Linked DNA regions of Kluyveromyces lactis. The protein of the gene in region 1 interacts with the protein of each later gene in a biochemical or structural test. Links are inferred from orthologs where the notes say so. Each region holds a gene or a part of one and is shown on either strand. Other genes may lie near its edges.

Region 1 (7,072 bases):
TGTTCTTCATCTTCTTCCTCGTCATCATCGTCATCATCGTCATCACTGCGTTCATCATCATCATCATCATCATCATCATCATCCTCACTTCGATCTTCAGCATCTTCGTCATCGCTCCGATCTTCATCCTCATCGTCGTCATCATCGGCATCTTCAGCATCTTCATCTTGTTCTTCCTCGTCCATCGGCTCGTCCTCTTCGGCGTTCGGAACATCCACATCTACATCCTCCAATTCATCGTCCATGTCAACATCATCATCTTGAGTATTTTGAACGTTATTTTGATTCAAGATTTCATCCACATCATCATCCATATTGGAACGTGGCTTAGGTGGGAAAGGACAATGTTTTGTTGTGATGTGTTACAGTGTTTCCTGTCATATTCACTGTGTCCTAAATTCGTACAGACAGGTTTATTTTGGTTGAAATCATTTCAATATCAACAGTTTTATTTTCCAAATATCAAATTGAATCAGAACACTTTCAAATGGAGACAACAAGATAACGATCCTATTATACACTGGCGGAGCTTCTAATCACCGCTCAATCGGTATCTAACTATAGAACAAGTCACTCAAACCTTTGAAAACTACAAGCCAAAACAAATAATGGCCTCGAACGACCTAGCAGTGGAAGTGCACGATCTAACGTACGCATTCCCCGGAAGTAAACGCTCAGCAATCCACGATCTATCGCTAAGTGTCGAATGGAACAAGAAAGTCTTAGTGGTGGGTAACAACGGTGCTGGAAAATCTACGCTGTTGAAACTACTAAGTGGTAAACATTTGTGTCTCGGTGGGAACATAAAAGTTGGAAACAAGAACCCATTCGCACCAAACAATGACCAGGAGTCCGTGATACTGACTACTTACTTAGGCACTGAATGGGCTAGTATGGCTATTGTACACAGGGATATAGGAGTCCTGGAACTCTTGGAGAGTATCGGACTAAGCCACTACAGGGCTCGAGGTGAAGAGCTAGTGAGAATCTTGGAAGTGGATATCAATTGGAGAATGTTCAAACTTAGCGATGGCCAAAAGAGACGTGTACAACTGTGCATGGGTTTATTGAAACCCTTCAAAGTTCTGCTATTAGACGAAGTCACTGTGGACTTGGATGTCGTGGCACGTGACCGTCTATTCCAATTCCTGGATCGAGAAACGAGAGACAGACAATGTAGCGTTGTGTATGCAACGCACATTTTCGATGGGCTAGCACCATGGGCTGATGAGATTATCCATTTGCAAGATGGCACCATCACAAGAACGTTGGATTACCAACGTGATATCCACTTTACAAAGGAAATAGAGGGCGTCCAAGAGCGAAAGGACAACGGACGACACACCGTGATACTAGGCTACATGAAGAGTTTATACCCGCTTGCACTCCACTGGTTGACCAGAGACCAAGTCGAAGACCAAAAGCTTTGATTCAACTTCTAAACGGTCAAACCGATATATGTCTGTAATATACTATATATACATAATCAGACTTTAATCATACACAAAGCGAAAGATAAATCACGTGAGTAATATATCGGTCCATTGCCTAGGTTCCCTCCCTTCCTCGTTTAAAAAACGTAATGCTGCCAATCGTATAACGTCGTTTACGGGATTTCGCCTCGAGGGAACGAAAAGAATGAAAAGCATAATACGAAGCGAATAAAAAAAAACAGTTAGGAAACCCCAGAAACTGCCGTACCAGAAAGGAAACTGGGTGGTGCTGAAATGTGCATCAAAGCCCAACTGGCGACAGAAAAACAGGCCACAACTTGCGAAAAGTACGCCGTAAACACTCTAGAAGAAAAGAGCTAGTCGTATAGACTAGCTGTGATAACGGTATGAACGGCTTGGTTTCGCAAGCCAATGCTTATTGAAGAAATGGACCGATGAGGCTCGATACTCTTCGCATTCTATCGTTAAAACTCGGGTTTTTTATCGTTCAATTTGGTTAACTTCGTGAAAAAAAAGTTAAAAATGAAATCGTGATATTTTCTATACACACTGATATATAAATAATATATGTATATAAGGCGATGAGTTAGCCAGTTTGATTTAGTTGCTAGATTCAGATCGTAAAAGCAGCAGGAATAAGTCGGCATATAGAAGCAAAACACAGTAGAGGGAGAATCCCAAGCTGATATACATATATTCGAATACACACCATGGATTTATTATTGGAAGTTTGTGATACGTATCTGTTGGATTACGTTTATGGGAAAGTATTCCCTGTGAATATGCTACCCAGCAGTGTTACCAATAGTGTTGGTCAGTTTTTGGACTTGAACACAGGAAATTTAAACGGCACTGCAGCCAAGCCAGCTGGTGATGTGTACGGTTATGAACCATTCTTGTTGGAATTCACTGATTATACGTTCCAATCAATTTTCCCTCGTTATAATTTGTTTAGAGAAACGCTAACGATGTTTGTCTTGATGACAATTTTTGGATGGGCTTTGTACTTCAGTGTCGCTACGATGTCGTACCTTTTCGTTTTTGATAAGGCTGTTTTCAATCATCCCCGTTATTTGAAGAACCAGATGTCGTTGGAAATGAAACAGGCATTCAGTGCCATCCCAGTGATGGTTCTGTTGACTATACCATGGTTCTTGTTCGAATTGAACGGATATTCGAAGCTTTACCTCGATATCGATTATAAATCATGGGCTGGAATTCGTCAACTTGCGTTTGAAGTGATCTCTTTCATCATGTTCACCGATTGTTTGATTTATTTGGTTCATAGATGGTTGCACTGGCCTAGAGTTTACAGGGCTTTGCACAAGCCTCATCACAAATGGTTGGTTACCACTCCATATGCGTCGCATGCGTTCCACCCAGTGGACGGTTACATGCAATCTGTGCCATACCATCTTTACCCAATGATTTTCCCATTGCAAAAAATTTCATATTTGATTCTTTTCACCTTCGTTAACTTCTGGACTGTAATGATCCACGACGGTGAATATCTGGCTAATGACCCTGTCATTAACGGTGCTGCTTGCCACACTGTGCACCATCTATATTTCAACTACAACTACGGACAATTCACTACCCTATGGGATAGATTGGGTGGTTCTTACAGAGAACCAGATCAAGAACTTTTCAACAAATCTTTGAAGAAGAGCAAACAAACTTGGGAAATCCAAGTCGAAAAGATGGAGGCCATCAAACAAGAAGTAGAAGGTGACTGTGATGACAGAGTTTACGTCACAACCAAAGCTTCTTAGGTTAATTGTAAGTCGCTCTTTCTCGATTCAAGACTCTTCACTCCACTTTGCATGCATTTGCACACCATAACGAACTACATTCAAGACTGTAACTACTCGTTTTCTTTTCTGTTATGATTATGACTACTTTTTTTTTCTCCTACTCACAATAAACACATGTCCTTCGTACGATATCTCATTTCCCCTCTCTCGGATACCTGTTACCAATTGAATTTCCATCTCTTCCCTTTTAGTTAATTGATGTCTGTCTTCGTTGGATCAAACTTTCCCCATTTTTATGTATCTATATATACATCTTACTTACTTGTACAATTATAGAACCTTCAACATACGTGTTTTTATTTTAGTAATTATAGTGATTCCTTGCGATACTACAAAATGCTACACCTTTTCCTTGTCTTTTGTCGTCCTTGTCTTTTGTCGTCCTTCCTTCATTTATCACATTAATGACATAAAACGGAAATTATAGATTAGTTCTAATCTCTTCGGACATGAAACTGAACCATTGGGTTTGTCACTGACAAGACTAGGGGTATAGCGTACTAACCTACATTGGCTACATGACAAACAAGACAAATATGACAACTCCAATTAAGATTCAAACAGGTTGCGCTGATTTAGAATTGTTTCCTGACATTGTGGTGAAACGGATAGATCTTGAGTTGCAAAGACCTCCTCATAATGCACATACTGAGTTAGAAATTTTGAAAACACTATCAAATAAGCATGTGATACCCTTGCTCGGTTCTGAAACCTCACCAAGGTATGTTACATTCAAATTCAAACGGTATCAATGCGATTTAAACCAGTTCATGGACCAACATTGGAAGGCGAAATACAATCCGTACTTGTTAGATAATTCTACAAAAACATATTCAAATACCATACCACTCGATCACTCGACAGTGATTATAAGACAAATAATCGAGGGATTAGTTTATATACACGGTAATGGCATTATACATAGGGATGTCAAACCGCAGAATATCATGCTTAACTCGTACAATGAAGTCGTATTAGGGGACTTCGGTATAAGTTACAATAGGAATCTGGATAATGAGGCCAAGACCTGTGATTGTTCCACATCAATTTACAAAGCACCAGAGCTTCTCTTTAGCGTGTCAAATTACAAATTCGAGATAGATATTTGGGCATTAGCTGTGTTGATTTCTCAACTCTGGAACGATAAAACACAATCCAAATCAAAAAGCAGCAAAGTGATAGACATTGATTTCGACGAATGTTCTGACATAAAACTTGTGCTCACTTTATTTGATAAGTTTGGGAAACCCAGTAACGAGGATTGGCCTCAGGTGACTAAAAATGAATCATTCAATGGGATGTTCGGGAATGTTTCAAGCGATAATTTCTTGCATAGGAGACCAATTGACGAACAACTGATTCAAGTGTACAAATGGATGCCTCTCATAACGGACAACCCAAAATTAGCTAAGATGTGGCTACGCATGGTCAAATTCGATGGTAATCTGAGAATATCGGCAGAGCAACTCTTGGTATCTATCTAGTAGTGTTTCTTTGTAGCTCCATAAAATGTTGAACCTGCTTTAATCTTTGTATCTCTTTCTTCTGAACTAACATCTGTCTTTTCATCTCGTTCAATTCGACAGATGGTGTGCTAACTTTCTTCTCGGTATCCATATTTAAAACTTCGGCGGGGTGACAACAATACCGGTTGTCAGAAATTTCATTTGAATCCATTGGCAGTTTCCCTCGATTTATTGTCCTTGAGTGGACTATTGTGACCTTGAGAGATGAGATCAAAATCCGTTTTCAAATTAGAAAAACATACAAGCACGATATTGGATTCACGAAATAGATAAGTTATAAACTACTTCATGTCTATCCCATTAGCTAGACCTACGATCTCACAGGAACATTAACACATAGGAGAGGACTATGTTTCTAAGGTTACTCCTCCATACATGGAGGAAATGCCGATCAATCCTGCTTTTGCTCATTACTGCAAGCGTTTTATTCTACTATACCTTTGAAAATGAGATTGAGCATCTTAATTCTTTTGCATACACTGATTCTTTACCATTGATTCAGAACCAAGATTCGCATAATGCTCCTGTAGCTGGTTCTGCAGATAAAATTACACACGATGAAATATCCAAGGAGCTGACCGATAAGTCGAGTTTGTCTGAAAAGAATAAGTATTTCCCCATATTGCTAGAGAATAGCGACGAAGCCTTGAAGTATCGGTCGGAAAATTATGACAGTAAGGAGCCATTCCACCCCTTCCATCCTTTCTATGAGAAAAAAACTGTTATACCTTACAAACAAATTAGCAAACAGTATCCGCAATTGAATCGAGTGTCATCTATTCATTCGAACGCTTTAATAAAGGACGAGCTATTGTATCATTGGACAGCTAGAATAAACCGCATTACAGACCATGCCTACTTGGATTTGCAAACAAATATTTCCATTTTGTCTACGGACTCACTTTTACAGCGAAATGAATCACTTCTTACCGTGACCGCTGTACTTAATAAGTTTGATGACCCAATGGATCAACGGGTCTGGTCATCTGAGATTTTAGGTTCATTATTAGCTGTAATTGGTAATAGGAAAGAGAAGAATCCTGAATTGTTACAGTTGATAACGATAATAGGTGAAATGTTGCTCCGCAGTTACGACACTCCAAACTATTTACCGCAGATTCCTTTCTTTTGGAAAACATCTGTCCCAAATCGATACGCTTTCAAAAAGACAAAAACTAGCATGTTAGCAACTAATATACTTGAGTTTCTTACTTTGTCACACATAACTAATGACCCACAATTTGACTCAGTTGTTTCTCACTCTTTGCAGACGATGTCAAGATCCGTGCTTTTATTCGATATAGATTACCTTTTCCCTTCCTTTGTTGACGCAAGTGGTTGTAAACCTTTATCTGATGAAAAAATTGCAAAAGGAGACCACCTTCGTGAATCCAACGTTTTGAAGTCTATGCAAAATGGTAAGTATATTCATTGTGTTATCAAGGAATCGCTACTTCCTCAACATAATGTCGATGGAAATCCCATTACACTGGATACAATCGATTTATACTTGACCGTTTTGAAGGCTTATCATCTTAATAACGGTAATCTGTTTGAGAAAAGAGAGGCTGAAAAGTCTATCACTAAATCGTTGTTACACTCAATTAAGATGATAAATGACACAATGCTATTTCAGCCGTGGCTTCCATCTGATTTAGAGGATCTTTTGCTTCCAACCAGTATTAAAACAAACATTCATTTCGACGTTTTAGAGGATAGAAACGAAGTCTCTATCGGGAAAGAATACAAGGTGACGCCAGATGGTGCTAAAATGAGTTCACTTTTATCCATATCTAGCGTTTTGTTTAATGATTCATCATTGATCGAGCAAGCAAAGGCTATCACTAAGGGGTATTACGAATTATACAAGTTGTTAGATCAAATTCCAGATGTTGTGGCATTGGATAGAAAACTTCCTACTTTCGGAATGTTTGATCCAACTGCTAAGATTGCGCTAATCAAATCTGGACACTATAAATCAAACACCATGCAGCAAGGCGTCAAAATTACGGAAACGACAGAAGACAAATCAAAACACTATACGAACACGGATGCGCACAGCTTCTCACCCAACGTCAAAGACATAAATGAAGAACAATTGTGTTGGAAGCTGCATACTTGGCCGTTTTATGTCAATGATATGGTGGTATCAACAAGGCCACCTTTCGAACTCATTGAGTCGTTAATTTATCTTTACAAAATAACCGAAGACTATCAATGGAAGCTCATCGGTGAAGATCTTATGCATAGCATCGAATGGTCACAATTAACCGTAGCG
Region 2 (6,417 bases), on another chromosome or scaffold:
TTTTCGGATCAGTTATATAAGATTTGTCAGGTAGTGGAGGAATCAATACTGAGTATGCAGAATCAAGCATCGATGCCACAGGTATCTTTGTTCCGTTTTGTGAGACCCTCTGAGGCATCAATATATCCATGGCCTTAGTTAGCGGAGAGATGAAGTTCCTTTGAAAGAAGTCTGTCTGTAAATCTTCAGTATTCATGTTAAGCTTATCCAAAATATCATCATAATCTAGAAATAATAGTGCGGATGTGTATAATGGTACAATTCCATCATTGCAAGCATTTGCATACACTGTGCAGCTTTTAAAGCATTTTAGAATCCTTCTCAAAGCAGACGAGCTGGATAAAGTTTGTAGAAGAGGCTGTTTAAGTCCATTGTATGTTTGTAGGCTGAGATCCTGTCCCGTCTTACCGGCAATACCCATTGCCAATAGCCGCTGGATATAAACTGCGTTGTCACTAACAATCCCAAGCATGGGAGATGCCATTGTTATGAAGTTTACAGGTTCAACCTGTTCAAAAAACTTTGGATAGTTGTAAGAGATATAAGCAATTGCGAAGGATTGAACCAATCCGCCTAATGAATGTCCAATGAATGAAATTTTTACAGTAGCATCATTGTATAGGTTATGAACTATATGTTCGGCCAACCGGGTCCCTAGCCATTTTATGCCTTTCTCTGTCTTGCATACATTGTCGGTGAATCCTTTCACAACTAGCATTTCCTCATGTTGGTTTTGAGTCTTCTCAATCTGTTCCTTGATATAAAATAAATCCGACGTAACGTTAGAGTGTAAGCCATGCGTAAGAATGACGAGATGCTCTTTTCGCCTACCAAAAACACTCTTTGAAAGCAACGATGCATTCCAAAGATCTGCGGTAGTCAGTCTATCCACTTTCATTCTTGAACTCTGTACCCCCAACTGGATATTTCTTGCTGAGTCCACACTTATTGATTCCTTACTACCACCTACGGTGATAGAAAAGTTTATCGATGCCTGTTTGGTAAATAAGATTTGGCTTGCAATGTCAACAATCCATACGTACCGTTTCTTCAAGTTGTGCAATGAAAGCTCCGCAATAAAATCCTGTTGCGGTTGAATATTAGACTCAAACTGAGGTTGATCAGCAGAAATGAATAATCTTTGTTTGTGGTGGTAATCCTTCGTTCGCACATCCGCGTACAACACGTAGGGCCCCATCAAATACGCTGCCCTGAGCGTCACGTTTTCAATGTTTTTGATCTTCAACCACAATGAATCCAACGTTAAATCACTGGGTATCTCATCTCCCATATAAAGGTCATAAGTGAAAATATATCGCTCTAGCTCCCCTATTCGCAACGACGACTGGAAATGGTACATGATATCATGATCTGATGCAGTCATTTTTAACCACTGATCCCGTTGGTGCTTTGCATTTTGTCTCATCGTTGAAGGGATTATGTATCTAAGCATACTTTGCATTTTGACACTTCAATTTCTCCAGTCAAAAATCGTATAATGGTTCGTATAAAGAACTGGGTGAGAAACAGCAACACACTATACACCAATACGTACCCTCGAGTGAGGTTTCACACTAGATTGATGTTCAGGGTGCTTTCTTCTATACATATATGCAACTTTATTTTATACTATTTACAGTGTAAATCCAATTATCATTCCCTGGCGCAGAACGGTGTTTCCAACTGAATATTTGATCAAGCTGACATGTCCTGAAGTAATTGCTTAGCCTTCTGCTCAGAACTAAACGCGTCCATAGCATCAATTACATCATCTAGCCTCTCACCCTTCATGACCCCCTCGATATCATATAGTGTGAAGCCACATCTATGGTCCGTGATTCTATTCTGTGGGTAATTATAAGTTCTGATCTTGTCAGATCTGTCTGTCGTGGAAACTTGATCTTTCCTTGCATTCCTCTCTTTCTCCTCTTTCTCAAGCCTTTCCTTTTCGGCCAACCTTGCTCGTAGGATAGCAAAGGCTTTGGCTTTGTTTCTGTGTTGAGACCTTTCTTCCTGCATTGAAATCACAATGCCTGATGGATAATGTGTCAACCTGACAGCAGAATCTGTAGTGTTGACATGCTGCCCACCTTTACCACTGGCTCTCATGACATCGATACGAATCTCATCTGGCTTGAAAGTCCTCTCGTATGCATCAGATTCACTTTCTTCACCCATTTTGGGTAGCACAATGACGGCCGCAGTGGAAGTATGAGTTCTTCCCTTTGATTCTGTGGCAGGCACTCTTTGAACACGATGAACTCCGGCTTCGAATTTCAATTTATCATAAGAACCTGGTTCATCTATATTCAAGATTGCTTCCAGGACTCCGCTACCGCTTGCGTTCTCAGTTTTTGATATTAGGTTCCATTTCCATTTATGATAATTTGCATAGTTAATGTACATGTTCAACAGATCTTGAGTGAATATCATAGCTTCAGAACCACCGACACCAGGCCTTAGTTCTAATATACTGGGTTTATCTGCAAAAGGATGAGGCGGTAGGAGTTTATTCAATAAAGAGTCCCCTGTCTTGTTCAAATCTGGGAGTAGTGCTGCTATGTCTGCTTCGGCTTCTTCTCGTAATGATGGATCTAATTCCAGTATCTCCTGTAGTTCTTTATACTGATTGACTTCTTCTCTGTATTTGGAATACGAATCCACAATCGTAGATAGTTTGGCAAAATTCTTCTGTTTCTCAAGATCGAAGGATCCACCCTGCGACAACAGGTCCTCTAACTCTCGCAATTCATTGACATACAGCTCTGCTCTTGATATTAGCGATGAGTGCAATGGTCGAAATTCGACGGCTTCAGAACTGTTAAATCTGACTTGAAGAGCCACGTTTCGAAAGAACTTTCCTCTTCCAAACAATTTTGAGATCATTTCCCCAATCGAATGTAGTTTTTAACTCTGAAGATCCGATGGTACTTCGTTTTGATTCACCATACACTTCTTCCTTTACATAGCATAATATGTATCAAACTTTCAAAGATTTTTCATATTTAATATAGAAAGGTCCAAGCTTCTGCCAACATGCAGATAGACATTTGATGTTTAAAGTCATCGTTGGATCTGGGAACTGATTCTGTCATACGGTAGAGCTCGAAGTTATAAACCATGACCCTAAAATCTACTGTTGATGACTATACTAAGGAGAAAAAGGCTGGTGAAGGTACGTATGCCGTGGTTTATTTGGGAACTAAGAAGTCCACTGGAAGGAGTATTGCGGTGAAGGAGATCAAGACCTCACAGTTCAAAGATGGACTTGACATGTCAGCATTACGTGAAGTGAAGTTTCTACAAGAGTTGAAGCATGTGAATGTTATTGAATTAGTAGACGTTTTCATGGCAAACGATAATTTGAATTTAGTGTTGGAGTTTCTACCTGCCGACTTGGAGATCATTATTAAGGACACTTCTATTATGTTCAGTCCAGCAGATATTAAGTCCTGGATTCTAATGACTTTGAGAGGTGTACACCATTGTCATAGAAACTTCATACTTCATAGAGATTTGAAGCCAAATAATTTACTATTAGCACCTGATGGTCAATTGAAAATCGCAGATTTTGGTCTAGCCAGACTAATGGCGTCACCACAGGAGATTTTGACCAGTAACGTTGTTACCAGATGGTACAGAGCACCGGAGCTCTTATTTGGTGCAAAACACTACACCTCTGCGGTCGATATCTGGTCTGTCGGTGTTATATTCGCAGAATTAATGTTGAGAATTCCTTATTTGCCGGGGAAAGATGATGTTGATCAGATAAACGTAACATTCCGTGCGTTAGGAACTCCTACTGATGCGGATTGGCCTGAAGTTTCTAGTTTTAGCAATTATAATAAGATTCAAATATATCCACCTCCATCGAGAGAGGAATTGAGAAGAAGATTCATAGCGGCTACGGAAAATGCACTTGAACTGATAAGTGGGATGATGATAATGAACCCTAAAAAGAGATGGGATGCAGTCAAGTGTCTACAAAGTCAATATTTCCAGGAATTGCCGGAGCCTACACTTCCACAAGATCTTCCTAAGCTCAATAAATGAAAATACCTAGATATATTTTGAATAGAATACGAGGATATGTACGAAAAAAAAGTTCATTATTGCATGTTATCTGTTATTCCTAACCGTGAAGTATCTTCTTCACGTATCTCCCGATTGGGATACTTGACGTTAAACCTGGAGATTCGATACCTAGCAGGTTAACAAACCCCGGGAATCCTTCTTCTTCTTTAATATAGAAATCTTTGAATTCTGTGTCACCTGGTGCTGCTAATTTAGGCCTGATACCGCAGTATGAAGCCTCTAATTCACCTGGTTGCAGATGAGGGAAATATCTTGTGATGGTTTTGGCAGCGTCTTCAATATTCAGCGGGTTTGGGATCAGATCATCCGCAGAGTCAACATATTCAAGATCAGGACCGAATCTCACTTGATGATTTAAATCAATGGTCAAATGAGTTCCCAATGATTTGCCATTTCTGGGAGGCACAGGATAGATCAATCTTCTCACAGCTGGAACTTGAGTCTTCGAAGTGAAATAATTGCCCTTGGCATAATATTGCTTTACCTGACGTTCAGGTGGTAAGATCATATTAGCAATCTTGTCTGCATATAATCCAGCAGCGTTGATAACATTTTCTACACGAATCTCGACTTCTTCTGCAGTACCATTCAGCGTTTCCACGCATTGGAGAGCGTAGCTAGATCCTAAAAATTGAATATCCTTAACTTCAGATCCAATCACAGTATCACCCCCCTGGTTATCAACCATAGCAGAGAGGTATTCTATCAAAGAATGTGAGTCGATGATACCCGTGGTTGGAGATACAAGTGCACTTCTTTCGACTATTACAGCTGGCTCTTGCCATTGAGTCTTGTGACTGGGCAAAATTTCTACTGGAAGATTTAACTCATATTTCGCTTTATAGTACATACGTTCAACATATGCATCTTCGAAATCAGTTTGTGCCACAACCCACTTACCACATTTCAGCCAATCGACACCAGTCTTCCTGGGATTCAATTCATTGTATATGATATGGTTTCCTTCAATACAAAACTTCGTTTTTAACGAATCTACTGGGTAATACAAACCAGCATGAATCACCTCACTATTACGGCTCGAAGTTTCTTGGCCAATCTTTGCATTCTTCTCCAAAACAATCACTTTATTGCCTGGGACTTTGGTAAGTTCGTTGGCAATAGCCAGTCCGACTACACCTGCACCGATAACAGCATGCGAATAATCAACAGGAGCCGAATAAAAACGTGAAAACAATGGTCGAATCAAAGAGCGACAATTAGCTTGGAATTTTAGCACCATTGATAGATATTGATTGTGTATTGACACCTACTTTCATGCCTTTAACTTAAATAATCGGACCTTATCCGATTATGTGTAACGGTTGGTAAAGAATCATTTTATAGAAACTCGAATTTTAACCAGGAAAGGATCAAAACCAAATACATCATCAAGTTCTTACGCACAAATGGATCAAAGGCAGACCTACAGGATTAAGCAGAACGTTAGGCTTTTGTGAGATCTTCCAGGCTTTATTCGAATCTTCTGATATACCCGAGAGCTAAAACTGTTTTTGTTCGAGATGCTTGGTTTTAGAAGCTGTATCTTGGTATCAAGCAGGAGACTGATTTCCAGTTTAGCCAACAAACGGCCACCATTGCATGAGATCTTCCCACAAAAGAAGATGGTTAGCAGGATATTGTTTGAGCTCGATAGTCGGCTTGCATACAATAAGCTATATCCTATGTATGAGAAGCTTTATGAGGGACTAGACACTGGTAATGATGTTGATATACCCAATAGCATCAAAGGGAAAGACTTAATGATAATGAAAAAAGTTCTTGAGAAAGTGAGGCATAAGACTAAAGCTATCAACAAGAACCTATTAGCCTTGGAGAATGTTTTGTTGGATAGGGCTGCTGAGATCGGAGACAATGATGCTATATCGCTCTTATGTTTTGATGTTCTAAAGGATCCAGACAGTAATACTGAAGATGACGTATCTCATGCAAAGAAATTGATTAAGAACCTCTATCAAATGAATCACCCTTTAACCGTCAAACTAACTGCTGATATAGCTCTGAAGAACCATGACGATGCTACTGCCGAAGTGTACTATATGAAATTTTTGGATTTACAGAATGATACTTTCTTAGCTGGAGAAGTATACGGTCAATTGGGCCAGATCCACTTTAGAAAACCGAATCTTATTGAAGCAGAGAAATGTTTCTTAAAATCAATCAAACTTTGTCCTATTGATTACTCGGTACGATCGTACTTTTTGTTAGGACAAATGTATGTGAATAACGATATATTTAAAGCCAGGTACTTAATTGAAAGCAGTGCCACCCAAGGCTTCAAGGAATCATTTAGAACACTAGGGT

What was found.
Region 2: of the proteins of CAK1 (region 1) and KIN28, one has a biochemical effect on the other in vitro, tested with the Saccharomyces cerevisiae proteins (2 studies listed by BioGRID). The link is inferred for Kluyveromyces lactis from reciprocal best matches to the Saccharomyces cerevisiae genes CAK1 and KIN28.

What each region holds. Positions count from the first base shown.
Region 1 is NC_006042.1:821,431-828,502, forward strand, and holds CAK1 (cyclin-dependent protein kinase-activating kinase CAK1), read left to right. Parts: upstream 1-3,786; coding exon 3,787-4,752; downstream 4,753-7,072. Other genes in the region: SAGA complex subunit SPT8, read right to left, coding at 1-314; putative ATP-binding cassette family ATPase CAF16, read left to right, coding at 609-1,430; ERG3 (C-5 sterol desaturase), read left to right, coding at 2,165-3,226; putative mannosidase MNL2, read left to right, coding at 5,144-7,072.
Region 2 is NC_006041.1:1,321,379-1,327,795, reverse strand, and holds KIN28 (TFIIH complex serine/threonine-protein kinase subunit KIN28), read left to right. Parts: upstream 1-3,120; coding exon 3,121-4,053; downstream 4,054-6,417. Other genes in the region: putative lipase ROG1, read right to left, coding at 1-1,462; MRF1 (Mrf1p), read right to left, coding at 1,696-2,886; KLLA0_E14763g (NAD(P)/FAD-dependent oxidoreductase), read right to left, coding at 4,133-5,335; MSS2 (Mss2p), read left to right, coding at 5,616-6,417. UniProt on the Saccharomyces cerevisiae protein: Catalytic component of the TFIIK complex (KIN28-CCL1 dimer) which is the protein kinase component of transcription factor IIH (TFIIH) and phosphorylates the C-terminal domain of RNA polymerase II during transition from transcription to elongation after preinitiation complex (PIC) formation, thereby positively regulating transcription.